7 linked regions of the Coturnix japonica genome follow. The protein of the gene in region 1 interacts with the protein of each later gene in a pairwise test. Links are inferred from orthologs where the notes say so. Each region holds a gene or a part of one and is shown in the gene's direction. Other genes may lie near its edges. The genes, in order: REL, CPNE2, CEP19, PARVG, OSGIN1, PGAP6 and CHAF1A.

Evidence for each region.
Region 2: the proteins of REL (region 1) and CPNE2 interact in binary tests that used the Homo sapiens proteins (3 or more experiments, as listed by UniProt). The two-hybrid records come from large-scale screens. The link is inferred for Coturnix japonica from reciprocal best matches to the Homo sapiens genes REL and CPNE2.
Region 3: the proteins of REL (region 1) and CEP19 interact in binary tests that used the Homo sapiens proteins (3 or more experiments, as listed by UniProt). The two-hybrid records come from large-scale screens. The link is inferred for Coturnix japonica from reciprocal best matches to the Homo sapiens genes REL and CEP19.
Region 4: the proteins of REL (region 1) and PARVG interact in binary tests that used the Homo sapiens proteins (3 or more experiments, as listed by UniProt). The two-hybrid records come from large-scale screens. The link is inferred for Coturnix japonica from reciprocal best matches to the Homo sapiens genes REL and PARVG.
Region 5: the proteins of REL (region 1) and OSGIN1 interact in binary tests that used the Homo sapiens proteins (3 or more experiments, as listed by UniProt). The two-hybrid records come from large-scale screens. The link is inferred for Coturnix japonica from reciprocal best matches to the Homo sapiens genes REL and OSGIN1.
Region 6: the proteins of REL (region 1) and PGAP6 interact in binary tests that used the Homo sapiens proteins (3 or more experiments, as listed by UniProt). The two-hybrid records come from large-scale screens. The link is inferred for Coturnix japonica from reciprocal best matches to the Homo sapiens genes REL and PGAP6.
Region 7: the proteins of REL (region 1) and CHAF1A interact in binary tests that used the Homo sapiens proteins (3 or more experiments, as listed by UniProt). The two-hybrid records come from large-scale screens. The link is inferred for Coturnix japonica from reciprocal best matches to the Homo sapiens genes REL and CHAF1A.

Annotation. Positions count from the first base shown.
Region 1 is NC_029518.1:5,487,017-5,490,516, reverse strand, and holds part of REL (proto-oncogene c-Rel), read left to right. Parts: intron 1-2,315; coding exon 2,316-2,456; intron 2,457-3,500. UniProt on the Homo sapiens protein: Proto-oncogene that may play a role in differentiation and lymphopoiesis.
Region 2 is NC_029526.1:1,800,084-1,803,583, reverse strand, and holds part of CPNE2 (copine-2), read left to right. Parts: intron 1-410; coding exon 411-485; intron 486-2,670; coding exon 2,671-2,742; intron 2,743-3,500.
Region 3 is NC_029524.1:3,567,003-3,570,009, forward strand, and holds CEP19 (centrosomal protein of 19 kDa), read left to right. Parts: upstream 1-1,340; 5' UTR 1,341-1,364; coding exon 1,365-1,488; intron 1,489-1,590; coding exon 1,591-1,952; 3' UTR 1,953-2,507; downstream 2,508-3,007. Other genes in the region: PIGX (phosphatidylinositol-glycan biosynthesis class X protein), read right to left, coding at 1,045-1,108, 1,188-1,239. UniProt on the Homo sapiens protein: Required for ciliation. Recruits the RABL2B GTPase to the ciliary base to initiate ciliation.
Region 4 is NC_029516.1:63,627,635-63,631,650, forward strand, and holds the start of PARVG (gamma-parvin), read left to right. Parts: upstream 1-1,216; 5' UTR 1,217-1,402; intron 1,403-4,016. UniProt on the Homo sapiens protein: Plays a role with ILK in promoting the cell adhesion and spreading of leukocytes.
Region 5 is NC_029526.1:89,129-93,148, forward strand, and holds the start of OSGIN1 (oxidative stress-induced growth inhibitor 1), read left to right. Parts: upstream 1-1,220; 5' UTR 1,221-1,312; intron 1,313-4,020. UniProt on the Homo sapiens protein: Monooxygenase catalytic activity. Involved in regulation of cytokinesis; promotes RHOA activity, probably acting locally at the midbody in late cytokinesis.
Region 6 is NC_029529.1:10,721,681-10,725,936, forward strand, and holds the start of PGAP6 (post-GPI attachment to proteins factor 6), read left to right. Parts: upstream 1-1,456; 5' UTR 1,457-1,523; coding exon 1,524-1,617; intron 1,618-4,256. UniProt on the Homo sapiens protein: Involved in the lipid remodeling steps of GPI-anchor maturation. Lipid remodeling steps consist in the generation of 2 saturated fatty chains at the sn-2 position of GPI-anchor proteins (GPI-AP).
Region 7 is NC_029543.1:1,626,062-1,630,103, forward strand, and holds the start of CHAF1A (chromatin assembly factor 1 subunit A), read left to right. Parts: upstream 1-1,242; 5' UTR 1,243-1,402; coding exon 1,403-1,409; intron 1,410-1,715; coding exon 1,716-1,766; intron 1,767-1,990; coding exon 1,991-2,811; intron 2,812-4,042. UniProt on the Homo sapiens protein: Acts as a component of the histone chaperone complex chromatin assembly factor 1 (CAF-1), which assembles histone octamers onto DNA during replication and repair.

The DNA of each region.
Region 1 (3,500 bases):
TAAGTGTGGATCAGAGTCATCTGAGCTGCTGGGAGCAAATTAACATTAAACTTTTGATAATACCTTGTGCAAGCTGCAATATAAAGAACACACTCCCCCCACCCCACCCCAATCAGACTGTATCAAGAGGCAGTTGGGATATGACATGAGTTATTAACTATTTCAGCAGTGTTGAGGCTCAGAAACCTCATTTTAACTACCTAGTAACTTGTCCAAACGTGAAGATATTCTGAAGTGTAGTTTTAACCACCAAGTCACCATCAGGTGTATTTTGGCCCCCTTCTCCAACAGCCAGCAGCTGAGCACCTGAAGGGAGAAACCACCAGAGCCTACACCAGGAATAGGCTTGTCTGCAGCATCCTTGAGAGCAAATGCTGTGGAGTCAAGTTATTAGAGCTTCAGCGTTAGTTTGAAGGAGGAAGATTAAGAGAATGACAGGAAGTGAACGTCACACATGCTGTGTCAGTACAGACTCACAGGCTTTCTGGTGTAAGCTGCATATGTTCAGTGTTCTGCCCCCTGTGTTCCCAGTGGTGCTGTGCTGCTGTGGGAACTTCACTCTGCATATCTGGTAATAGAGACGACCAGCAGCCTACAGAGTTCATGCTGACAGCTTCCCTGAGTCCTGGCATTTCTGGGACTACATTCAAAGCTGCCGCTTAGTTTTGAACTGACTGGATTTGTCTTAAGACTGCTGATGGCAGGCTGGTAAAGCAGAAAGGTGATTTGATTTCTTTTTACTATAGAAACTGTAAGAAATGGAGATATTCAAAACACAAGACTAAAAATGCCAGTGGAAAGTATTCTGAGCTCAGAGCATTGGTTGTTTCATGCTATCAAAAGGTGAAAGGAAGAAATCACTTGAGTGGGTGATGTGGAATCCCACTCATGGCAGGGTGGAGACCAACCCGGTGATAAAAGCTAAAGGTCAGAGCATTGCAGTCTAATCAGTACAACGTGATCCACACGCTTCTTATCGCAAGTGCATTTCACTTTTTTATTCTTGCAAGAGGCCTTTGAAAGGGCTGGGGAGGGAGTGAACTTCAGAGGCTGTGATCTGCTGACTTGGTGTGCATTCACTTTAGGCAGTTACAGTCTGACTGAGCTGAACTGCTGTGTTGAACAACTTTGGAAGAGAACTACTCCCAGTGATTTTAATTACTAGTGCTTTACTGAAGTGAGATCAAATCAGAGTCTCATTTAGCTACCGCTGAATGTTAGCACAATAGTTTAATGCTGGACCTTAAAGAAAAGCATTGATTTCAGATAGTGTTGATTCTGCCAGTTAGCCATGAAGCTAGGATTGGATGCATTAAATGTTTGATGATGATATCCTGGGCCCTGTGTTCTGAAATTAAAATAAATGAACTCATGATCTGCTGAGCTGGAGTTATTTATTGTGTTTTACACTCAAATTAATTTGCGAGGAAACAGTTTGTTTCCAGCAAGGGTTTGCTTGTTGGATTAGAGAAGTATATCATAAAGACACCACTGATTGCTGTACCCAGGTTCAAAAGTGATACTGGTTTTGCTGGAAAGTGTAGATAGTCTGTATTGTGTAAGCTTCATTCTTGTCCCAAAAACTGAATTATTTTCCATCTCAGTTTCTAGAGGAAAATAATGGTTATTGCATAGCAGAAATCTCTCACTTGCTGGAAATTTTTAGCTAGATCCTAGGACTCCTTTGTACTGAAGGATTTCTCTTTGCCAGGGGCATTCCTTTATTAAATATCATGCACAAGTAAGAGATGTGTCCAGCGAATGACTGCAAATACATGAAACTGGTCTGGGAGGCAAGGTGAGGAAACTAGTAAGCAAGGAAGACAAGGAACAAGTTTACGATTAGGAAGAGAGGGAGAAGGCAAAGGTGGCGGTATCCTGGTTGGTGTGACTGTCTGCTTTGTGCTGTGTGGTCACCTTCCTGCTTCCAGCCATAGCTGCTCGGGGGCAGCTGAGCTGAGACTGTTTGACTCACCCATGGGATGGTCTGGTCAGAGAAAAGCCTTCGTAGAAATATGATGGTGGGGAGAAGACTGACTTCTTAGAAGGGAAGTTTTTGTTTTTTGCTTCAGATTTAGCCTTGTGTGACCAAGGAAAAGTGTTAAGGTCCTTTTTTTTTTGTGGTGTTTTTTGTATACAAGGAATTTATTCATGCATAGCACTAGAGAATGATGTGGATGCACTTTCTTTGCTTTGGCAACAAACACAAATTTGGCAGTTTGTTTTTTACTGGTGGAGACAACACCAGACTGTTAAAGAATTGCTGTTGTTTTTGAAGACTATTTCTCAGTCTTGTATTTCCTTTTGCTATTTAGTGCCTGAAGAACAGCTGCACAACATCGATGAGTACGATCTCAACGTTGTCCGCCTCTGTTTCCAAGCTTTCCTCCCTGATGAACACGGCAACTACACGTTAGCTCTTCCTCCTTTGATTTCCAACCCAATCTATGACAACAGTAAGTAATGACTCAGTCAAATGTGCTCCCCCCTCGCACCAGGACAGATTCTGAGGCTTTGAGCTTTTTGCCAGCCCTCTGGGGCACTTTGCTGGTTTGAGATTGTTTGATACACTCTTAACACACATAGCAAGATAGTCGGCACGCCTCTTAGATGATTTCAGAGTGACGTGCTGGTAGGCTGGAGTAGAATTGTTTGTTCCTGCCACAAGCCAACTCATTGGTGCTTTATTCACCCTTGTTTACATACACAGTGATGGCTGCAAGGATGAGCTTGCTTCTGGCATGCCAAACAATTAAAATGGTAATGAGATAGATAGCTGCCATAAGATGGATATGTTGTCTGTTCCTACTGTTGAGAAGTCCTGTCTTTGACTCGTTAGGGCTCTCTGAAGGGCAGTTCTCAAGAGATACTTGCAGAATTTCAATGATGTGCATATAACCATTATCATAGAATCATAGAATAGCTTGGGTTGGAAGGAACCCCAAGGATCATTGAGCTCCAACGCCCCCCTGCCAGAGGCAGGGCTACCAACCTCTGTATCTAAGGGCTGCCCAGGGCCCCATCCAACCTGGCCTTGAACACCCTCAGAGGTGGATGGAGCATCCACAGCCTCTCTGGACAGCTGTTCCAGAAGCTCACCACTCTCATAGTGAAGAACTTTCCCCTGACATCCAACCTAAATCTTTTCTCCTTCAGTGTAAAACCATTTACCCTTGTACTGTTATTATCTACCCTTTCAAAAAGTTTACTCCCCTCCTGTTTATAGGTTCCCTTCAGGTACTGAAAGGCTGCAATGAGGTCACCCCACAGCCTTCTTTTCTCCAGGCTGAACAAGCCCAGCTCCCTCAGCCTGTCCTCATAGGGGAGGTGCTCCAGCCCTCTAAATATCTCTGTGGCACTCCTCTGGACCCACTCCAACAGCTCTCTCTGTCTTTCTTGTACTGAGGGCTCCAGACCTGCACACAATACTCCAGATGGGGCCTCACAAGAGCAGAGTAGAGAGGGACAATCACCTCCCTATCCCTGCTGGCCACCCCTCT
Region 2 (3,500 bases), on another chromosome or scaffold:
TTAGATAGCAACAGCTAGAAGCTAAACCATTTCATTATGGTTTTCTTCTAATTATTATTTTCTGGCTGTGTGACATAGGACCAAGGGTGGAGACAGAAGGATGGATGGGGCTGTGCTTTTAAGCTGTAACCCATAGATTTGGAAGGGCTTGCTGGTGGGAATGGAAGAAGAGCACAGCTGGTTCCAGCAAGTCATTGCGTGGGGCTCTGCAATCTGTGGGGAAAGCTCACAGGGCTCTTGGGCAGCAGTGGTGGCACTGACAGCATCGTGGCCATCTCTGAATGTGGGATCTTTCTTTTACCACCGTGTATACTGAATGTGAATTGACTAACATGAGCAATGATCAGTTGCTTATGAGTCTGCATTTGATCACATGACTTTATTTTTTGTGGTCTTTTTTTTTCTCCTAGATTGTCTCCAGCAAGAAAATAACGAGAACTCTCCTTCTGGGGAATGGCAAGCCAGCTGGGAAAGGGATGATAACGGTACAGTAACTCATTTACCTTACCCATGGAGTGTGTGAATGCAGATAATAAACTGCAGGTGATGCAGAACACCAGCAGGGCTGGGGTTGTTGTCCCTTTTTTTCCCTCGCCTCCCATTTTCCTTCCCACCTTTGGTCTCTTTGGAGGACATTATATTGCCCAGTCCCTGTCTGGTGACTTCAGCCTGTGCTTTTGTCTCTGAGCGCTAAAATAAGAAATGCTAAATCTAGAGAAGAACGCAGTAAATATGAGCTGCTGGTTGTTATCTCGTACGTGACGCTTGTTCAGACCTCCCTGGAGCAGCCAAAGGTAAAAGGGCCGATTCCTTTGCTGACAGTCAGTGGTTTTGTTTGTAGGAAGAGGATGAGAGTTCTGCCGTAGCAACAGGTCTCATAGCAACAGCCTCTGCTCCTGCTGCAGACCCCTTCGGGCAGTGGCTTTCCTGCTGTGGATCTATTTAGTGATTTCTATTTATTTAATTATTTTAAAGAAGAGACTAAATTTAGGCTCGTTTTCCCCCCATGCCGCATCTCCTGTCCTTTTCGTTCACTTCTCTATTCCAGTTTGTTTGTGTTAGAGAAGCGAAGGTATAGAAGAAAAGGCCAACGTGGAGTTAAACTGCAGGCAGGTCTAAAAGCACCAGATGGGTCTAAAACCATTTTAAAAGACCAAGATCTGCCTGCTGCAAGGCCATCTCCCATGGCTGTTTGCTCTAGAGACTGGGAAGATGCTGTTAGCTTTTCTCTCTTAATTGCTGCAGTTAATCTTTAAAGGCAGAAGGGGAAGCTGCATTGAAGCCTGCAGTGGGCACCTGATGCCGTGTGCCTTCCCCAGGAGTGGGCTCTTGCTGCCCCATACCTGCTACTGGAGCAGGAAGAACTGGAGCAGTTGAAAAGTTTCCAGTCAAGTTCAAAGGTTTCCAGCTTTAGAGGAGGAAGCTTCTGATCTGTCACTAATGCATCATTAGAACTAAGGGGGCTGGGATGTCTGCTTCTTTGCTTTGTGTGCTGGCAGCGTTGGGTCCTCCAAGCCTGACACATTGCTGTGCGCTGGGGTTAATGCTGCCAGCACCAACTGAGACAATCTTCTTTGTGCTCACAGAATGTAGGGTTGGGAGCCAAACCCTGCTATCCTCACCCACGCTCTGCTTTCCTCACCCATGGTCCCTTCAGCTTTATCTAGGTCCATTTTCTTAACTGCAACACACAAATGTCATTGGGCTGAGTGCAACAGAAATGCCTCGGCTGGAGTACTGGGACTGAGTGAGAGTCCTGAGGTTTGAAAGGTGTGGAAAATCCCAAAGCTCATCACTGTAGGAATGAATCTTGAGGTCTTTACAAAGCACTGGGGTTGTTAGTTTCCATAGGGAGATGTCACCATGGTTTGTATGTGCAGCCCAGCTCTACCTTGGCCTCTGAAGAGCCCAAAATTGCAGGGACTCCAGGTTGGGTCTGCTGTGGTCTGCAAAGGTAATTTGTCTCCCTGCAGCACCTGTTCCTTATACCACTTTGACCATCGTGCATGTCCACCTGTGGCTGTGTGGAGGAGTGATGCTGTGGGAAAGGGAAGAACAGGAGACGGGAGGTGGGGAGCAGATGCTTGGGTAGGACACAGCCTGGAGAAGAAATGCAAGTGATTCAGAAAGCAACTGCTAACAGAAATGAATAAAAGCTGGGGGGGGGGTTGTAATAAACATTTGCTTTCTTAAAATACCAGGAGATTCATTAGACGGTGTTCCAGACAAAACCAGCCCACTGGTCTTTGGCAGTCAAAGCCATTTTGGAGGGTGTGTGAGAAAAATCTTTGAAACTGAAGTAATGTGGGCTGCGTTTGTGCCTGCTACAGCCATCAGGAGCTGCAGTGGTCTTTGTCCTTGGGCCATCTTGATGGGTGATGGTGGATGAACATGGCCCCACTCTGGGCAGCAGTGATGCACAGAACTGGCTGCATGAGTCTGGCTCTGGTGGTTGTTTTGCTGGCAGCTGTGTGACCCTGGGCAAAATCATTTTAACTCTCCAGTAGTGGGATATTGTGTATGTTAGGTCTTGAGAAACTTGAGAATTACTTCTGTAGGAGTTGCACAGCTCCAAGGTGTGCATCCTCATGTTGCAGGATTGCCCTCCTTAGTTCAGTGTTCACTGACTTTTCGTATGAAATATGAACACAGCTTCCCCTTGTCTTTCAGATAGCTGCTCAAGAGCTGTCGGACAACAGGGTGATTACTCTGAGTATGGCTGGCAGGAAACTGGATAAAAAGGTGAGTTGTGATGTGTCAGGAGGATGTAAATGTTAAACTTCTGTCTCTTGTAGGCTAGGGAATCTAAGGAGATCTCTGCTTGTGAGTACAGTAGTGTCATAAAGCTGTCTCTATGTAGAAAGCTTGGAGGTCTGGAGTCAGGTCCTGGCTGTGTCACTCCCTGCTGGTTAAGCCCGTGTCTCAGCTTCCCTGCTGTCAGAATGTGGAATTCTTCATAATGCAGGACTTGTGTACTATCATGTCTTAAAAACAATGTTCTGAGCCAGATTTATTACTTCAGTGGCTGCTGTTTGGAAATGTCTCCTGACTGGGCTGACAGTTTTGATACCCCTCAATTCAGTATTTCAGAAGTGCTGAGTGTTCTTGGCTTGTTGCCTCTAGCCCTCATTGAAACTGAATGAGAGTTTGTTTATATATCAAACAGGAGGGCCCATCTTTCCAGACGAAGAAGCACCAACCTCGTGGATATAGATAATGCCAGTTTTTGCTTTGGGTATGACATGCAGTATAACCATAAGCCTTTCTGAACAAAGCAATCTGACCTTATTTACCAGGCAACCAGAACGATTCCTCTTAAACCAGTTCTGTTGCTAAGCAATCGATGTGTTCTGTTTTTTTTCTTTCCCTTCCTAGTGTCTCCAGAGCTTGCATTGTTGGTAGGATGGCCCTTGGTTTTCAAGTCACAGTAAAGCGTGCAGCCAGGCAAACTTGCTTTGTTCAGTCCCGTTGTCCAGGCCAGATGGTTTATCCAAGTGCTT
Region 3 (3,007 bases), on another chromosome or scaffold:
CCAAGTGTCAAACTGTCAAATGCTCAGAGATGGGTGTAGCACATCCCAAGAGTGAAGCTCGGCTTTACCAGCTGCTCTGTGCTGCTGACAACCCCAGAAAGCACAGTGCGACTGCAGCCCACACAGAACAAGCAATAGATCCTAAATATGTGAGAAAAGAATCACAGACACACGCACTGCATGTGAAAAGAATCACAGAATGTCAGGGATTGGAAGGGACCTTGAAAGATCATCTAGTCCAATCCTCCTGCCAGAGCAGGAACACCTATATCAGGTCACATTAAGTTTCCCAGGAGACAGGCAGAACAGTGAAGGTACCTATAACTGATATGATCCTGCTGTGGTACGCTATTACAACAGTATACTCACTATAAAAAACTACTTTTGATCCATCACTCAGCTTGAAAGAAATAATTAAGAAACAAATAGAAATTATCTACATCTGTGTTGAGGATTGTTGTCTACAGTACATTTTCCAACTACTCACATATCTGAACCTCAGAAATAAGGGGCTTCCAGAACTAATTTTGTCCAAGACAACTTAATAATAATTGTAAAAAGGTTCTATGCTTCTTTAATGTCTTTGAAAGATATGAAAACAGATCCTTATGATGCTCATTTATTTCCTAAACCAACCTATATTCCAATTTTAGCTAAAACATTGAGAATCAACATCACCAGAAAATGCCTATACATTTGGAACCATGCCACTTTGTTCCAATACAGTTCATTACGACAACTGATACATTCAGTAAGATCCTGTTTAAGCATACTGACTTTAAATTTGAGTTCTCATGGATATCTACCTTTCTTACAGCTACTAAATCCAGAATTGTCAGAGGGAAACTTTCAACAGAGTGGAAAGCAGTGAAACGCAGTTTAAGATGTCTATGAAACGATGGCTCCCAGGCTGGATGTGGCTCTGTGCAGCCCGGTCTGGTGGTGGTGACCCCGCACACAGCAGGGGTCGGAACTGATGATCACTGTGGTACTTTTCAACCCAGCCCGTTCTATGACTCCGTGTGAAGGCAAACCCGGCCTCACCTGTGCAATCCCTCCTTCAGCAGCTCCTGAGACACGGCGCTCCTCACGCAGGCGGCCTGAGCGTCTGAAACGGCACAGACCGAGTGAGCAGCGGCACCGGGAGCACAGCGCGGCTGCTGACGGCACGACGGCGTTATACTTACGGAAGGCACAGAGCAACGCGCTTAACGCCCACCGCCACCGCACGGCCGCCATCTTGGAACCCCCGCCTCACCTCACGGCCGGGGCTGCCCGCGGCGCTGCCCGATTCACTCGGATGGTTCGGGCGGCCATTTTGAGTCGCGTTCCTCAGGCACTTGGAGCGGGCAGCCCGAAGGAGGATGAGCCGCACGGCGCTGCAGTGCGGCGTCCGCTTCCAGCCGCCATCCGTCATCCTCATCTACAGGGACAACGACAAGACCCGGCGGCGCATCATCCCCGTCAGGAACTTCTCCCAGTCCTCAGGTGTGTTGGTTCTCCCCCGGTTCCTCTCCATCTCAACTCCATATCTCTACTTAAAGAGATCCGCCTGCCCCTTGTAACTCCTCACGGTGGTTTTGTGTTTAGATTGCGGCGTCGCTGCTGAGCAGCTGAAGAATAACCCTCGGCACAAAGCCTACCTGGAAGGAGTGTCGCTGTGTCAGCTAAAGAAGCTGCACGTTCTGCTGAGAGGCCACCTGAGGGGAGAGAGCCTGGCTGAGAGCCTGGGGAAGATTGAGCAGGAGCAGAACATTGACCCCGAGGAGGACATGAACAAACTGGACGATGAGGAGTTAGCCAAAAGGAAACGCATCATGGACGAGCTCTTCGAAAAGAACAGGAAGAAAAAGGACGACCCGGACTTTGTCTATGACATCGAGGTGGAGTTTCCCCAGGATGAGCAGCTGGAGTCCTGTGGATGGGATGGGGAGTCGTGTGAAGAAGTCTGATTGCAGACCGAGAGGAGCTGGATGGGCAGAAACAGATCCCATATTCCTAGGAGAGAACAGTGCCATCCTGCTCCCTCCACTGCAGCATCTCCTGTTGGTGTGGCTTGAAATTGGCCATGGAGAATCTGAGGCCTAAGATATTCCAGCAGTTTCAGGTTTATATGCAGTGTAAGGAGCTGAACTGAGAAAGCTGAAACGAGACAGCTGAACTTGGTGGCTGTTTTACTCATTTCCAACGTAGGAGTGCCCCAATTTAACTAATTTATCTTTCCTTTGTTTCCATCTGGCTGAAAACCTCACCATGTTTTCCTGTGATTTCTCTTCAGCTTTATCTGAAAATGAAATGTTAAGTATTTACATCTTGGAAGCAATAATACACTTTATTGGGTGCCTGTGGTGTTTATCACCACCTCGGTTGGAATGTGAAATATACGTTTGGATACATCAGTGTCTCATTGAGGATATCACTCTCACCTTCCCTCAGTAGAGGCCACGTTTGCCATTTCAGGTTGCACAGGTTAAATCCTTCATTAAAAAACCTGAGCATTTCAAAAACAAGTCAGTTTTGGAAGCACTTTGGGGATGCTCACAAGCAGAAGAGTGGCTGAAATAGTCTGAGTGATCCCCCAGCAGGTACCTGTGTAGATAGTAGATGGCTTTTGGCTATTTCTATCTGAAATAGGGACAAAAAATGGCCACGTGAAAGGGTGGATGTGATGGCCTTCTCCAGATCTTTCCACAGCTGTGCCTGGCTCTGTTTCTGCAGCTCCATGCTCAGAGCTCACCCCATTGACCACAAAGCATGTGGTAACCAGGAGAGATAAACAGATAAAACACCATTACCAGAAATATAATTTATTCTTGTGTCTTTCGGCCAGTTGTTGTACATCCCTGAGGTCTGAGGTTCTGTCTCACTGGCACAGCGGGCACTGCCAGCAGTGGTGCCACCACCAGTGCAGTGTGGGACGGGGTCAGCATCCCAGTCCTTCTGTTCTTAGTGGTTTACCCTAAGGCTGAAGCTTCACTGACAGATCCAAATAGATCTGCCCCTCTTC
Region 4 (4,016 bases), on another chromosome or scaffold:
TGACCTAATAACTACAGATCAATTTCCCATGTTTTAGTTGTTCCTACTCCCTCTGCCTGCTGATAAGAAACTATATTTCAGAAGTACAGCATTTCCATTAGTACTTCTTTTTGATTTTACTCCCTACATTTCTGGGCTGTGGCATGCACTCCTACATAGCATAGAACGTACTCTTAGTCTTTTCTGAGCTGATGAAATGTGCTTTTTTCTGCTTAGAGAATATGCTAAGTTTGTACTTCGACCACTAGACAGAATCACACAGAATCACAGAATGATTCCGGGTTGGAAGGGACCTCAAGGATCATGAAGCTCCAACCCCCCTGCCTGGCAGGGCCACCAAACACACACCTTTACTAGATCAGGTTGCCCAGGGCCCCGTCCAACCTGGCCTTGAACACCTCCAAGGACGGGGCATCCACAACCTCCCTGGGCAGCCTGTTCCAGGACCTCACCACTCTAGAAAGGTTTGGAGACTGAAGTTTTGGAGGTAAATTCTCCGTTATTAAGAATCCGTAACACCTGGGAGTCTGTTTTCATCTCACTTTCTTTCATCCTATTTAGCTCATGCAGAACTATTAGTTCTCATCTATGGTGTGGAGCTAAACACAGAAGTCAGTCCCTTAATAGTGTTAAAACAGACTGGCTTAATTAGCGTGGCTGTCTCCTGTCTTGTTCTGGGATTTCATTGAGGACTGCAGAGCTATTGCTTTTTCATTCTGGAAGACTTAACAACTGCAAGTGATACCTGGAAAAGATGTCCAGGGAAAGCAATGGCTGTGGAGAGCTTTTCCTCTTTAATCACTGGTAGAAAAGGAGAGGCAGAGTATCAGATCTGCTTAGCAGAGGTTACGCTTGTACCAGATGAGCGTCTGGGGCACTGGTGTGACTAACTGGCTGTCCAAGGACAAATGAGCTCATTTCCTTCTGCCTAGGTCCCCCTTCTGCCAGGTAGGAAGAAAAGTGCTGATCTGCCTTATAAAAAGCTTTAAGGACCATGAGTAAGAGGTGTAATGTACCATGATGATTTTATCTGTCACTGGATCTTTTATTAAAGGCAAAGAAAACATGCAGCGATGTGGACTAGCAAACGATGTGGTGCTATGAAACAAGGACAGTACCTTGCTTAATACTTTCTGGCATTTCAGGAGTTGTGAGGATGCATGCTTCCTGCATTTGTATTTCTGTTTATTGCAGTCACCAGCAGGAACTGAGCACGCAGACAATGAAGTTCCGCTTATGACTCTGCTTTCGTTTTCAAGTACTGTCAGTGCGGAGTGGTGCAGCTTCCACCACGCACAGTGTGCGTGCTTTGTGCTGCCCTGTGCAGTGGAACCGAGCCCCTGTGCAACTGCATCGCGCTGCTGTCTGAAGAGCTTCAGGAGAAATACTGAAGAATTGAATTGTAAGTTTGGGACTCTTTCAGGGGGAGTTTTGGTGTTGTTTTCTTCAGCTGTAGAGCTTCATGCTTTCGCATGGATTGTTCTTGCTGAGACAGTGTCTCTTCTGATGCCAATGACAAAATATTGCTCTTTGAAAAGCCTGATACTGAGCAAGGAAGCAAAAGTAAGTTTTAAGCTGGGTGCATGGCGCATGTTCTCTCTCTTGATTTATTCTGCTTTTTTGAAGGCAGAAGTAGTATCACCAGCCATCAAAACTGGGCTTTGTTCCCTGTTTGTGTGATCTGTTTAGAAAACTGTTCGTAGGAAATGTGCTTGTGCTGATGCAGAGCAGGGCTTTTGTCTTGTTGGGACAGGAAGTTCAGCAATTGAAACAATTTGGTAACGTCGGTGAGTGCTTGTGTATATCCAACCGTCGATTCTGATGTTGAGGACCGCGGTCCTCTCACCAGTGCTTTATATCACACATCAGGGATGATGTCAGACTGTGAGAAGACTGTGAGAAGTGAGGTGAGCTGAACTGGCTCACTAAAAGAATGAGTTGGTTTATCTGTTGTCGTTACATTGCAGCATGATGCAATGTAGTCCAGTTCTCGGCCTAGCAAAAAATTCACTCATCGGCACCACGGCAGGTGGTGCAATAGGAATACAACAGCTGTAGCTTTTAAAGTGAACAAGCTGTGACATCTCAGTAAAAGAGAACGAAGGACCGCATAAAACCATTTCGTTTGAATAGTTTACAATGTTAAAGCTCAATTTTATTAAGAAATTCCACTGTGAAATGCCACTGCAATCAATATTCAAACAGTTGTCTCCTAGAATGATCTCTCCTCCTAATAGTGATAAATAATTCATGCAGGAGGCCAGAGAAAAATAGCCTGTCAGTAACAGCTCTGGATAGTGAACTTGAGCGCTATGGGAAGTGTGGAAACTTGCAGGTGAGAATCAAATCTCCCATCCTTTCCAATTTCTCATTAAGCAATTAAACCCAAGGAGGAGTCCAGATCCCATTTTGTTCTGTTTCACGCTGTTTCTGCAGCAGGTTATCTTTTGAAAGGCCACTACCTAAGATCAAGCCTCACAGCAATGAGACTTGTCACAAGAGACTGCTGAAGTGCGCTAATTATTAGTAACGAGTAATGAGTCTATTAAATGCTAAGGAGCTGCAGTTCTTAGCCTCCGAAATGGCTTTTGGAAATCAGTGTAGGTGAACGCAAAGTGAAACATGTAGTGGGAGAACACAGTACTGATTCTACGGATAAGTGATGGGCTTAGAGCAGTGTTGGTATTTAGGAATAAGATCTTGGAGTTTTAATAGACAGTTCTGTTCACGTGTCAGCTCAATGCTCAGCAGTGATCAGTAAAGCAAACGATGATAGGAATTAGAGGAAAGGCATGCAGAACAATGCAGAGGGTATTGCGGACACCATCCTAAACCCGTGCAGTTCTGTTTCCTAGCAATTCAAATAGGATGTGGTAGCATTGGAGAAAGCTCATGGGCGGGCTGGGAAGTTCATGAGAACTAAATATTCTGACAGCACCAAATCACTAGGACTCCAGTTTTGGTTTAGAAAGGCTGAGCAGCAGGGTATTGTAGCTTGTGAGATTGTGTTAGGGAAGTAACTTGTGAACGCTTGCTTTGTTTTCTTTTTCCCTAAGCATCTGACTTTGGGTGCTGTAAGGGACAAGCAGCATCCAAATTATCTCTGATATCGGGTGAGACATTTTGTCTCACCCAGGATGGCCATTTTACCATTCTGACCAAGTGCGACACACAAGACCTAGTCCTTGGAGTGCATTAACTTTAGCTAGTGTGAATTCTTAATTTCAGACCCTTTCCTACAGGCTTCCAAATATTAAAGGTAGCTTTCTGACAAACAGATGAAAGGATGTGGCAGGCAGTATGCCTTATTTTGATGTGTAAATATCCAAAGGAAGTGCAAGGGATGTGCAAGTTGAATATTGCAGTGAAGTTGAGTTGGTAAGTTGTGGTTTATTACATAGGGCTTTAGAGTAAAACTGTCAAAGGCAAAACAAGTGCCAGAAACCTAATTTAAGTTGGACTTGAGTTTCTCTGTACTAATTACCTCTTTTCTCCTAGTTTGTCACATCTAGACAGCCTCATCTTAGATAGTTCAGTTGCTTCCCAGGCACTAAATGACTCAATTTCTCTTAAGTATCTTAGTTTATTATCCACGTTTCTAGTGACAGTGTTCAATTTTGCAGCCGTAATGACAGTAATTGCCTTGTGACTCTTTTTCCTTGGTCATTTTCTGGGCATTTTGTATCTAATTTGTTTGCAAGACCGATATACAAAAGTATTTAATTGCCACTTCCTACCAATAATCGTGGCTTGCCAAGATCAGTGTTAAAATACATGTTTGTAGTGGACTTTGACTGGAGCCTTTAATGAACACTGAGAGAGTCTGCAGAGGAGAACATTAGGAGACATCTTTGCCAGACCCTTCTTCATAGATCATTGCTGGTGGCAGTGAACTTCAGTTTGGTAGGACGTGTGGAGGGTTATACAGATCCCTGCTCCCACAGCTCCATTCCCTGCCTTCTGCTGTCCTGCACTGCTCCTAGCCATTTTAGAAAAGCCTGCCTTTAATATTGTTT
Region 5 (4,020 bases), on another chromosome or scaffold:
GTTCTTGTTACTTTGCAAAGCTTCTTTGGAATGCAATTTTTAACTTTCTGAAATAGCTGTACTTAATATTTACAGGCTGAATTGAACAGTTTAAGTGTCAGGCATATTCATGCACTAATGGCAGCGATTCTGCTAAATTATATACAAAAAAGAAAATTCCTTTTAGAAAGAAAGCATGTTCCTTTGTGTGATTTTTAATTGTAACCTGGGCAACAAAAGAAAATCTAGGAATTAAGGCTTGTGTTACAGCTTTCCATATTGAAGACATCAAACACAAACAAGTTCACAAGTGCCACATGGCTCGTTTTTGTTGCTGAGAGATTTATATAAATATGTTTTCTGGCTTTCTTTCCATGGTCTCAAGCAGAAAAGCTTTTATGCAGCTCAAGAAGTAAAACTCAAAAGAAAGGTCAGCAGGAAAGGCTGCTTTCCCAGGAAGCCTGCATGCAAACTGTTTTAACATTGCAGTGTTGAAGTAGACACATTTAACATTTGACTCTCACAGGCTCAGCATCTTTTGGAGTACTTTGGAGATCACGTTTGTTACCTTAGTGCTGCTTAGAATCCTTTGTGTCTTTTCCAGGCAAGCTCAGGGTTCAGGCCATCCACCAGCTGTGTATGTACTCCATCTCTTTCAAATATGCATAAATAGCAGCCACTTCTGATGGAAACCCAGGAGTGACCTTGTATGAACTCTTCTTGTATACACTTTTTTGCAGGTGAGAGAATAAGCGCAGATTGAGATCTGACCAGGGTGTGGAATGCAATATGAGCTCTCTGTGCTTCTCTGCTGTGTTTACTAAAGGTCACCTCCCTCCTGATATACAAGGTGAGAGCATGTTTCCTCCCAAACATTAGCCCTTCAATTTTACTGAGGTTCCTTTGTGAGCAAGTAGTAGTCAGAAAGTCCCAAGGCTTTCCACTCAGCTTTTTTATCAGGCACATGGGTGACTGCACTGGTCTGAAAAACAAACTCTGCAATGCTTCTGCACCATCATATAAGTTCACACTTTTGCCCAATTTCTTTGTGTTGTCTCACACTGTGGCACAAGTCCAGATGAGGAAGCTGAGCCAGAGCTAGCTTGAACTTGAATCTGAGGTCATCAGAGATAGTCCTGTGAAAGCATCGGCTCAGTGCTTGCTAGCGGCAAAGAAAATCCAGTGCTAGGAAAGGATGGGAGCCAAACCAAAAGGCTGCTGCATAACCCTATGGCTCATCTGTGCATGAAGAACTCTGTGATGCGCTCTTTCTCTCATGCCAGGACAAGAAAAATGGGAGAGGTCTAGAGGAGACAAGCCAGGTTGACAGAAGGTATGGAACAGTTTATGTCTTGGGAATAAGTCAGAAAACAGAGTGGAATATAAAAGAAGTTTATAGAGATGACTGGTGCAGAAAGGATCGGTTTTATAAATCTCCCATCCAATACAAAGACTACAGGCTGTGTGAAATTGCCAGAATCCAGATGAAAACAACTTGAATGAAGGGGCTGGCAAGTGAACAAACCTTATCAGGTTTCAGCCAGTTGTCCCATTTGCAAATATTTGGAGGCAAGGGAAGGTACAAGATATGCATCATGTGCTTATACTGTTCTTTACCTTCAGTGACTGTCAGTTAATGCCCAGTGCTGAGTGTGGGATGCCAATCTGATTGGACCTTCCAGTCAGTCTGGCTTCAGTACAATTTCCAGGCCTAGGGTTGCCAGCTGAAGAAAGAAGGGGAGTTTTTGGAACAGATCTGAAGAAAGGTCACAAAGATCCTCAGAGGGCTGGAGCACATCTATAAAGACAGGTTGAAGTAGATGGGCTTGTTCATCCTGGAGAAAAGGCAACTCAGGAAAGACTTCACTGTGTTCTTCCAGTGCTTAAAGGCAGATTATAAACCAGAAGGGGAGCAATTTTTTACATGTTCTGAGGGGGAAAAGGACACAAGGGGAAATGGCTTTAAACTAAATGAGAAGAAACTCTTTACTCAGAGGGTAGTGAGGTGCTGACACGGGCTACTCAGACACTGTAAATGCCCCATCCCTGGAGGTGCCCTAAGCCAGGCTGGATGGGGCCCTGGGCAGACTGAGCTGGTGGAAGGCAACCAGCCCACGGCAGGGAGTTGGAGCTCGATGATCTTTAATGTCCCTTCCAACCTAAGCCATTCTATGATTCTATTAACATATCCATTGCAGCTCCGGATGGATCCTCAGTGATGTTTGTTAAACAAAAAATGGGGATTTGTAAAAATAATAGAAGATGATGCAGTTGCAATCAGCAGCTCACATTTGAGAAATATCACAGCAACATACATCAAGAGAACTTATGCATAGAAGCTTCAAAAATGTATAATGTTTCCCAAATCTTCATCAAAGCTGTGAATTTCATAAAGTTCAAGGGATTGACCAATCCAGCAGTTCCTTAAAGTATGGGTGCTGATTAGGGAGATATTATTTACTTTTCTGAAGTAAGGTGGCCTAGGGCAGAGTAAAATGCTAAAAATATTCTTTTGATTTGCAAAATGAAATAAAGACATGGATGGAATTAAAAGGAAGAATCTGAAGATGAAAAACGGCTAAGTGATTTAACAGCTTTGGTTGGATGAGGTTGGATGAGGGCCACTCATTTAAATGAATTAAACAGCCATCTTCAATGTGAAAATCAACTCATCTGTGATATGTGTCAAACCATGACCACATCTGAAATGAAACTTAAATTTTGGTAAGTTCAAGTTATGGCAAATAATTTAATGCACTTCAATACATTGGCCAAATATAGTCCTGTGAAAAATGAAAAATATGCAGCTGTGCTTTCCATTTTGATAAAGGAATTTGAGAATAGGTTTCAAGATTTAAAAAAAAATCATCAATTTTTTGTATATTTGCAACTCCATTTTCAGTCAACATAAATACATTACCTGCAAATTTTCAAATGAAATGTATAGAGTTGCAATCAGACATTCAACTCAAAGAAAAATCTGATCATGTCTCTCTACTAGACTTCCATAAGACCTATCTTACCAGGGAGAAATATGCCTTGTTTCACAGTTCTGACTTATTCACACCATTGCTTTGGGGCAGTGTGTATGTTTGTAACAACTGCTTTCGAGGATGAAGCACAGAAAGAAATAGATCAATATCGAGCACCTTGGGAACGCACCAAGAACATTAACAAAAACATCATCAAATATCCCATTAGTTTTGTGTTCATGTTGCCTTCTTTTTTTATGTTTTAATTTAAAGGGGAAAAAAAGAGAAGAAAAAAAAAGTGCTATTACTTGTGTTAACTGTACTGTATATATATTTTATGTGCAGGCCAACACAACAATTCATTCAGTGTGACCCAGGTATTTCAAAGGTTGGATATCCATACAAGCTCTTTGGTAGAGGTTTTACTCAATGATTCAAATTTAGCATTTTCAATCCAGATAAGTACTGACTTCTGAGAATCAGAACTACATCCTTCTTCTCATGCCTGCAGTTTCTCTGTTGACAAGCAGAAAAATTGGGGCATGCTGCAGCCAGTCTGACAGGAGTGAATCATAAGTATGTTCTTTCTGTGTGATCATTGTTGATAAGGGTGTAGGACTAATCTGGAGTCTCTCATTACTACTCTAGCAATAGATATTTGGTTTATAAAGGCAAGAGCTGCAAAAAGGACACCAAGAGCAAAAAAATTGCATGTGAAGCAGTAACAGTAACTTTTAGTGCAGTAGGTTTGGAGGAAGAGCCAGGCGAACACTGTTATTGACATTCCTAAGAAAATGATTTGAATGAGATTTCAGGGGATCATGGTTCTTATTCTGCTCAATGCTGAATATATGTGTGGATAACTCACACCACAGTAGCTCTGAATTATTGCTTTTTGTGGACCTATGCTCAGTTTTGAGCTCTGCTGTGAGTGAAAATGGACAACTAAGAGATATAAAAGGAATTACACAGACCAACAGGCATTTCTGACACAAACACACTAATTACTGAATGGCTTTATTCTTGTGCAGTAATGCTGCCTTTTTCCTGCAAATTCACTGTGCCAATT
Region 6 (4,256 bases), on another chromosome or scaffold:
AGCATTACCAGAACTTAAAACATTGTCTGTGTTTCGCTGCCATCACAAAAAGTTTAATGCCACAGACAATATCTTAGAAAAACTTTCTGCTCAGCTCCTTCTGGTCATCAGATCCAGCCAGGTTTCCACTGTGGCTGTACCAGTAGCTACCCTTTTCAATGAAGAAACAGCACTTTTCTGTCAGTCGATGTTGTCCACTAAGGATTGATCTGATTCTCAATACAGAATGGACATGCAGACACGTCTTCCTACCACACAGCAGCCACCTGAGATGATCTGAATGTGCTTAGGGACACAGAGAACATAAGAAATGTCCCTGCTGGACCTGATGGTTGGTTCATCTCACCCAGCGCTGTGTTCAGCAATAGGAGATGGCACTGGGGAGCACACAAGCCTCGCCATTTTAGCTTGTGCTCCTCCAACACCTGCATCAGCAGTTGATGATTTCATAGAGTAAGTTCCTGCATGTTGCCTTCAGCATCTCTTTATTGACCTGTTGTTCATGAATTTACTCACCCGTTTATAAACCTGCTGACCCCATTTGTTTCTACAGCCTCCCATGGCAGCAGGTTCCAGAAGTTCATTCTCCCTCCCTGCCTCACATGAAGTCCCTTTTATCCATTTCAGACCAATCTATTGGACTCATTGATGGCCTTTAATTCCAGTACTGCAGAATCCAGTGAGCATCAGATCCATATCCCCTTATGACTGTGTAAAGTAGGCCATTTCTGTGCCCTCTCCTGACAAACCCAGTCTTTCCAGACCATCATCATCCTGCAGCTCCCCATGCCCATCTCATTTGCCATCTCAATTGATCTGAGCTCTTTCTCTGCATGCACTGTGTCCATTTTAGACACAGATTTAGAGGCCAGAACTGCACAGCCATCCTAAGAACCAACTGGTGCCTGGCCAACCAAAGGTGGAGCTCCCAGAGCAAAGCAAGAAAGGCAAACCTGCCGTGAATCTGATGCATGGGAAAAGCCCTGAGACACTGCTGGATTGCATCACCCACACACTACAATGGAAAACCTTTCCTCACTCTCCCTCAATGAAGGAATAAAGTCTGATATTGCCATCTTGAAGTCTACAGCTCTCAGATTTTTTGACCCACGTCCCTGAGATGCAGTTCTTCACTGTCATCTTCCTTCCCAGATCCCTTATCACTGTGATTTCACTTAGGCAACGAGCTGCAAGGCAGACACAACACAGCCAGGCTGGAGCTGGAGCTGGATGGAGGTTTCCCACCCAGCTCTGCCTTTTTAACTGCTTGTACCAGAACCAGACAAACAGGGCTATGGGAGCAGTGTCACCCCGAGGGTCGTCCCCACGATGAGGGCCGCCCCCTGCTCCCTGACGGCCACCGAGACCCCCCTGGGCCCGGCTCAGCTCCGTGTGGTAGCCGGTTGTCCCGGGGGTGGAGCGGGGCGGAGCGGCGGAAGCGGGAGGTGGCGGAGACGGCGGCGATGATGATGGCGCTGCGGGGCGGGCGGCGGGCGGCGATGCCGGGATAGAGCGGGGCGGCCATGGCACGGGGAGCCGGCCCGGTGCTACCGCTGCTGCTACCGATACTGCAGCTCCTGGTGCTGCCCGAGGGCCGAGGAAACCGAACCGGGGCCGGTAAGTGCGGGCAGAGGGGGGGGGCGGCCGTGATGGAGCCTCGCATCCCCTTGCGGCTGCATCGTGGCGAAGTTTATTGTGGGCAATGAGTGGGCAATGGATGGACCGAAGGGATGCAGCACATCTCTATGGAGGCAGGTTTGTTATGTCCGGAGAAGAGAAGGCTCTGGGCAGACCTCAGTGTTTCCTCCCAGTGTTTGAAGGGAGCTTGTAAGCAAGAGATGGACCGGATTTTTACGTGGCTTGATAGTGCTCGGAGAAGGGGGAATGGCTTTAAACTGAAAGAGAAGAGACTTAGGTAAGATTTTAGGAAGGATTTATTTACTCAGAGTCATTGAGACCTTGGAACTGCTGTCCAGTGAGCTGTGGGTGCCCCATACTGGGATGCATAGAGGGTCAGTCATTGGGGTCCTGCACAGTGTGAGGGGCAGCCAGCCCACAGCATAGGGGTTGGAACTGAATGGTCCTTAAGGTCCTCTCCATCCCAAGCCATCCTATGACTCTTAAGGTTTTCCCTCGTTGTGTAGCGGTGGTGGTTGGGGCGGATGGGCAGGAGTGGGCTCTGAATGGGCAGGAAGCAGTTGCAATGGTTTCGAAGGTGCAAGGGCTGATCCTTGTGGCCGTGAGCCTGAAGCTTCTGCTGTGTGCATGGCAGGGGCTCTGCTGTGCTATCCAAGGGCTGTACCTTGTCCTGAGAAGCATGTTTGCTCTCTTCGCCCTGATGTGGAGGTAGGTGTATGTAACTGTGGTTATCAGCTGCTGAGAGTGGTTCCCATGCTTCAGATAGCCACAGACTGCTCAGGGAGCTGCTGGCGCCAGGGTGAGATGTCACTTTTGCCCCAGGCCAACCCTACTCTGGCATCCTGCTGGGTGGGTTCCCAGCCCTCAGGTACCTCCCCTGTGTTCAAGGTGTGATATTGGGTTCTTCTTGGCGTCATCCTGCCAATTCAGGTGAATTCCTCATTGGATCTGAGAACTGTTAAGGATCAGATCCTCCTGAGAGGAGTGAGGAGTCTTGGGATACATCAAGATGTGGCTTTGACATGGGTTACATTATAAATAGCACACAAAAAGCCTGCCACAGTCATCTCTTGTCTTGAGTCAGACTGGTCGCTGTCTGTGTAGCTGTACTCAGGGTTCTCAGTCTTTATGTCCCTTTGGAATTGCTGCTTGACCTAAGCTCTGCACAGGGTTGAGCCTGCTGGCTTGTGAAGTGCTGGCTCTTATGAAGCCCCAGAGATATTTGCATCTGCTCTGAAACCGGGACCTCGTCCTTCTCATGGGGAGCTCTGAAACCAGCGGTCAACATGTCTAGAAGCAGAATGATATAATCTTTGGATGAACAAATCCAAGCTGTCGCAGGTGGTTCTTTATTCAGACATTCAAAGAATGTGTCTCCTCTGTGCATCTGTGATTCTCCTCATGTTTTGTTTGTCTTCTTCAAATTTTTCCTGCTTTTTGCGTCCTATGTTTGAAACTTTTAGAAGGAGGCTCTTGTTCAGCATCAAATTATGTTGTTTCCATCCTTTCCCACAGGGATTTCACAACTGCCCTGTTCAGTTCAAAGAGCTCTGAGCATTGCTGGATGGTCAGGTCTGACTCCCAAGGTGTTGCTGTGCTTCTGAAGAATGTTCAGAACAGGGTAGAAACAGGCACATACAGAGCACAGCAATATTCAATGCAAATAGGGAGCAGGAGCACATGCCTCACTTGCACATGACCCGTCTTTCTGGCTTTTCTTTACTAATAATCTATTATATCTTCATGTAGCATTTCCTTCTCAAACCAGGTGAAGTGGGAATCAACTCATCTTGTTTCCTGGATGCCCAGCATAGCAAAACCTGGGAGTGCAGCTGTGGCCCTGGTAGGTTCTCTCCAAGCAGAGCTGTGTACTTGGACTTTGTCCACACTGCTGTACTGCAGGCTCATGTGCTCACATTGTCAGCTGTCACACAGCTCTGTGCCATTCCCTTGGGCTGTAACTGCAGCTCACCTCAGTCAATATAACTGACCCATCCTTAATGTGACCCATGCTTGACTTCTTAATTCTGACAGCCCTCTGCTCCTCCCTACAACACCTCATAAGTTATTCTTCTTCTTCTGTGGCCCCTTGAAGGTGAGGAGCTGCTGATGGGTGCTGTTGGCCATGCAGTTTGGCTGGAGAGCTGAAGTGGGTTTTTGCTGGGTGCTGGTGGAACAGTTCATCTCTGATCAGTCTGTCCAGTGTGAGCTTTGGGCAGGACCATGGCTGTCCAGGCTTTACTACTCTGTCTTTGTCTACCCTTGGCTTGTGCTGGCACCCAAATGTCACCATGGACATCCAGCAATGAATACGCTGTGTGTGTGCAGAGTGCCACTGGGTGCAAAGAAGCTGCTGATTAAAGGCTTCTCTTTTCTGTAGTTCCTATGCGTGAAATAAGACTGGGTTTGTAGGAGAGCACAGCTGATTTCCTTCCTCCACTCATGACTGTGGGAGCCCGTACTGCACTGCCGTCACATCTGTGTTTGCTTGAAGGGTCCCTTCAATGGTATTTGCTCTTTACTGTCCCAAAGAGTGACCTAACCCTGACCTGAGGACAGTAGCTGGAGTTTGTTCTGCCCTGTGCTGGGGTACAACCAATCCAGGTCCCTTCATTTGG
Region 7 (4,042 bases), on another chromosome or scaffold:
CAACACTGATAGCATACAGAGCTCCAACAGTGCCTTATATCCATCATAGAAGAGATGGAGGGCACCTAATGGCAACAGAGGGGCTGAACCAGGGGTGCCTCATATCCATCATAGAAGAGATAGAGGGTACATAATGGCAATGGAGGGGTTGAACCAGGGGTGACTCGTATCCATCATAGAGGAAATGGAGGGTCCCTAATGGCAATGGAGGGGTTGAACCAGGAGTGCTGTGACCCACTGCCACAACAGTGTGGGATCAGTTCCCATATCGGGGATGGCAATGGAGCCCATAGCGACCAACGGGAGCTGTGTGAGGCTTTGGCCAAGGGATGGGCGCCGGTAACGGGATGGGCAAGCAGCACAGACCGGGAGGGGGCACCGGGGGTGTCCCAAGGCAGAACATAAGGACACAAGGGGAGCAATGGCTTGTTAACACGGGGATACCGGACGGAGAACGGCGATACGGAGGGGGATAACGAACCCCCGGTAACACCGAGAGCGGAGGGATATCACGGAGGGCGCGGTGCCTCACCTGGCTGGCTTTGTAGAACTGCTTCTTCAGCCCCGCCACCGACATGCTGCCTGCAGGACCGGGTGGGGGCGGTGACACTCGGCAAACACGGAGCCCACCCGCTGCCCGTTCGGCCGCTGCCGCCGCCGCCGTTTCCGCCCAGTCGCCGCCGCCAGGAAGCGGCACGGCCCGCCCCGCCCCTAAGAGACAGCACAGCGCCCCCTGGCGGCCTGGCGGAGCGCCCCCTAGCGGCAGAGCATAGCGCCCCCTAGCGGCCTGGCGGAGCGCCACCGCGGTGCCGTTGCTGTCTATGGGTGGGAGGTGAATGGAGCGGGCGCTAGGGAGAGCGGCCTACAATCCCAGCAGCCTTTATACTAGTTCTTCCTACTAACTAGGCCTCTCGTTGGCCACACGGCCGCCATTTTGCGCACTGTCTCGGCCCACTCATTGAGTTAGTGCGCTGAGAGGCCCCAGCCCTACGTTACTAGAGAAATACTGCTTTGATCTGCATAGAGCTGCTCCGCCATCACTGCTGCCCCACAGCAGCACGACCTCAGGCCTAAGGGTGAGGGAGCTTTTATGCTCCTCCTGCCTTCTATTTTCTCCAATCAGCGCATCCAGCGAGCGAGAGTGACAACTGCGCCTACCAATCAGCGCTCCTCATCGCTCTGACCAATGCGGGTGTGGGGGCGGGGCCAGGCCTCGCGGAGGTAGGGCGGGCGGATGAGCGAGTCACGTGGGTGTTATCAGCCTATCAGCGCGGAGAGGCGCGGGGTCGTCCCGGCTCCCGCCAAATACGAGCGGGAGGCGCCGGGCCGGAACCGGACGGAGCGGGTCAGAACGGGCCGGAACCGCTCGGTTCGGCTACAGCTGGAGCCGTGGCGCCTCAACATGGCAGGTAGGGCAAGGCCTGGGGGTCATCATGGGGCCTCCAGGGGTGTGAGGCCTTCCTGAGGTAACAAAGGAGGCCTGAGAGTGTAGGCCCCGTTGGGGTGCTAGGCCCCGTTGGGGTGCTAGGCCCCGTTGGGGTGCTAGGCCCCGTTGAGGTGCTAGGCCCCGTTGAGGTCCAGGCCCTGAGCGGGGCTGTTTCCTCATCTCTTGGCTTTATTCAGCCCTCAGGCTCGGCCTGGAGCTGGTTGTGCTCTCTGGGTGTTGCTCGCGTGGCCCGGCCATTCATTGGGCTCTTTTTGTTTCTCTTTTGTAGCCATGGAGTGCAGAGACAAAGCGGTTGTTCCTCCGAGGAGACTCGTGCAAGGTAAGGCCGTGGGGGAGCCTATGTCACCTCCTATAAAGCCCTAATGCCTTTAAAACACTCCAGGTCTGGGAATATTGGCTGTAATGAGCTGTCTATAGCTGTAGTTTGGTTTCATTCTACAGCTTAACAGCCAACTACCTTAACAGCCATACATTAACTTCTATTTCCCCTGCCCCAGTGATTTGTTTGCTGTGACTTAAACAGCCAAATGTTGTTTGTTGCAGCTCGGTTGCCTTTCAAGCGCCTGAATCCCGTACCAAAGGAGAAAGATGATGCAGAAGCAGAAGGCAAGAAAGGAAAGAGTTGTAAGGGTGGCTTGGGGCAAAGTAAGGATTCCTCCACAGACACGTCGCATGCATCAATGGACAATATGGAGAATGACTGCCAGCTCAATTCAGATGTGAATTTTGTTCCCAAACTCGTTAACGGAAAGGGTCCGTTAGACTATTTTATACAGAAGGGCACAAAAGATAACACAGATGAAATCATCGTCATTATTGACTCGGTAGATGAATCCCATCAAAGACTCGGTGATGATGTAGACCATGTTAATTTGGATTCAAAAGCATCTACTGCAACTCTGACTAATGGTGTGATAGGAAAAGATATGAACGAGCTGGATTGCCTGAATTCCACTCAGAACAACCAAACTGATGAATCAATGGAGACTGACGTGCGGTGCGAAGCTATTGCAAATAAAGGTGAAGATCTGGTAGATGGAATCCAGTCTTGTTCTGAGTTGACAGAGTGTAACAACTTGGAAAACACGAAGGTTAATCAGGGTGAACTGAAGGACATCATATTTGAGGGGAAGATGCCCGTAGTGCTTCTTGAAGATATTATGGCTGCCAAATCTCCCCAAGTCACTTCTCTGGATGGAAGTGTCACATCAGAAAATGAGACCGTAGAATTGTCCCATGAAGGAGACTCTGTACTTACTAATTCCTCGTTGAGCTCTCTCTCTGTGAGCTCCCCTGAGGCGCAGCCTGTTGCAGAAACCAAGAGAAACACTAGTCCTTTAGCTGTCTCAACGCCTGTTAGGAAGGTTGGTCTCTTTTCTTGGTTGTTTAAGACTTATTACATGGTAGACGGGTTGTTTGTCATGAAAAGGATAAATCAGTTGCAAAGATTGTGAGACCAGATGGAATGTGTTGTCCATCTATTAATAATGTGAGCGAATGATTACCCTCTTGAATCCTTTAAACTGTATGGCTTAAGTCTTGGTTTTGAGTTGCTATGTTTGAATAGCATGAGTGCAGCTCTAAGCTCCTGTTACAGGTTCTTATAGTGATCATGAAGTGTATGCCTTGGGATGTACACCTTACTAATTGGGATAGGGACAGAGCTCAAAACAAGTTCTGTACAATAGATAGTGGTTCATAACCTCCATTCTGTTCTCTCTGTTGCTGAGGGTTTTTTTGTGGGCCATCTTGTTTCCAGCAGCAGCTCTGAGATCTTGAATCCAGGCTGTTAAAAGCACTTTAAGTGAAACTACAGGGCATTAACACAAGTGCAGTTTTCCCTCTGAAGAAAGAGAACGAGCTAAATAAGTCTCAATAGGAATTAAGTGTGTATGGCTTGTGCTGTCAGCCATTTTGTGTGCCCTGTCCAGCATGGGGGTGCTTAAGGGATAAGTCACTGTGTGCTCCTGTGACAATGAGATGTTGCTGAGGGCTGGAGGGGATGGGATGCCTCTGATCTGACAGCCCTGTGTGTGCTGGGGCTTGGGATATATTGTAGCTTCTGGTCACTGCCTGCTCTGTAACAAAAGACCTCTGAACTTTGTGACTTTTGGTGTCGTGCTGAAAGGGAGGCTTTAAAGCCAACAGATGGCTGAAATGGTGACTTGAGTGGTTGGAAAGTGCTCAGTCTTCCTGGGGAGCAGATTGGTGGAGGTGTAAAGGGAGGATGCTCTGGTACACGACACTCAGTTGTGATACCTGTACAGCCCTAAGTTCAACTGAGCTCTCTGACTGCTGTCCTTGCTTGCATTTAACTGCATTATTGGAAGGGAAAACGAGGCAGATGTTCCCAGGTGTACAGAGAACTACCTGGTTCTGACTTCAGGCTGTTAAAACTTGTGATATCACTTTGAAATGCACATACAAACTGAATTAGGCTGTACCATTCTCCTGGTACAGCAGAACAGAAGAGAGCTCTTGACTTTGAATGTAATGTAATCATGTCAACAAGTGATTGGTTTTGCCTGGTACAAGGTGAGGTTGACCTTGTTCATTCTGTTTGCTGGGGTGGGATGTCTGTGCTGGTCTGCACTG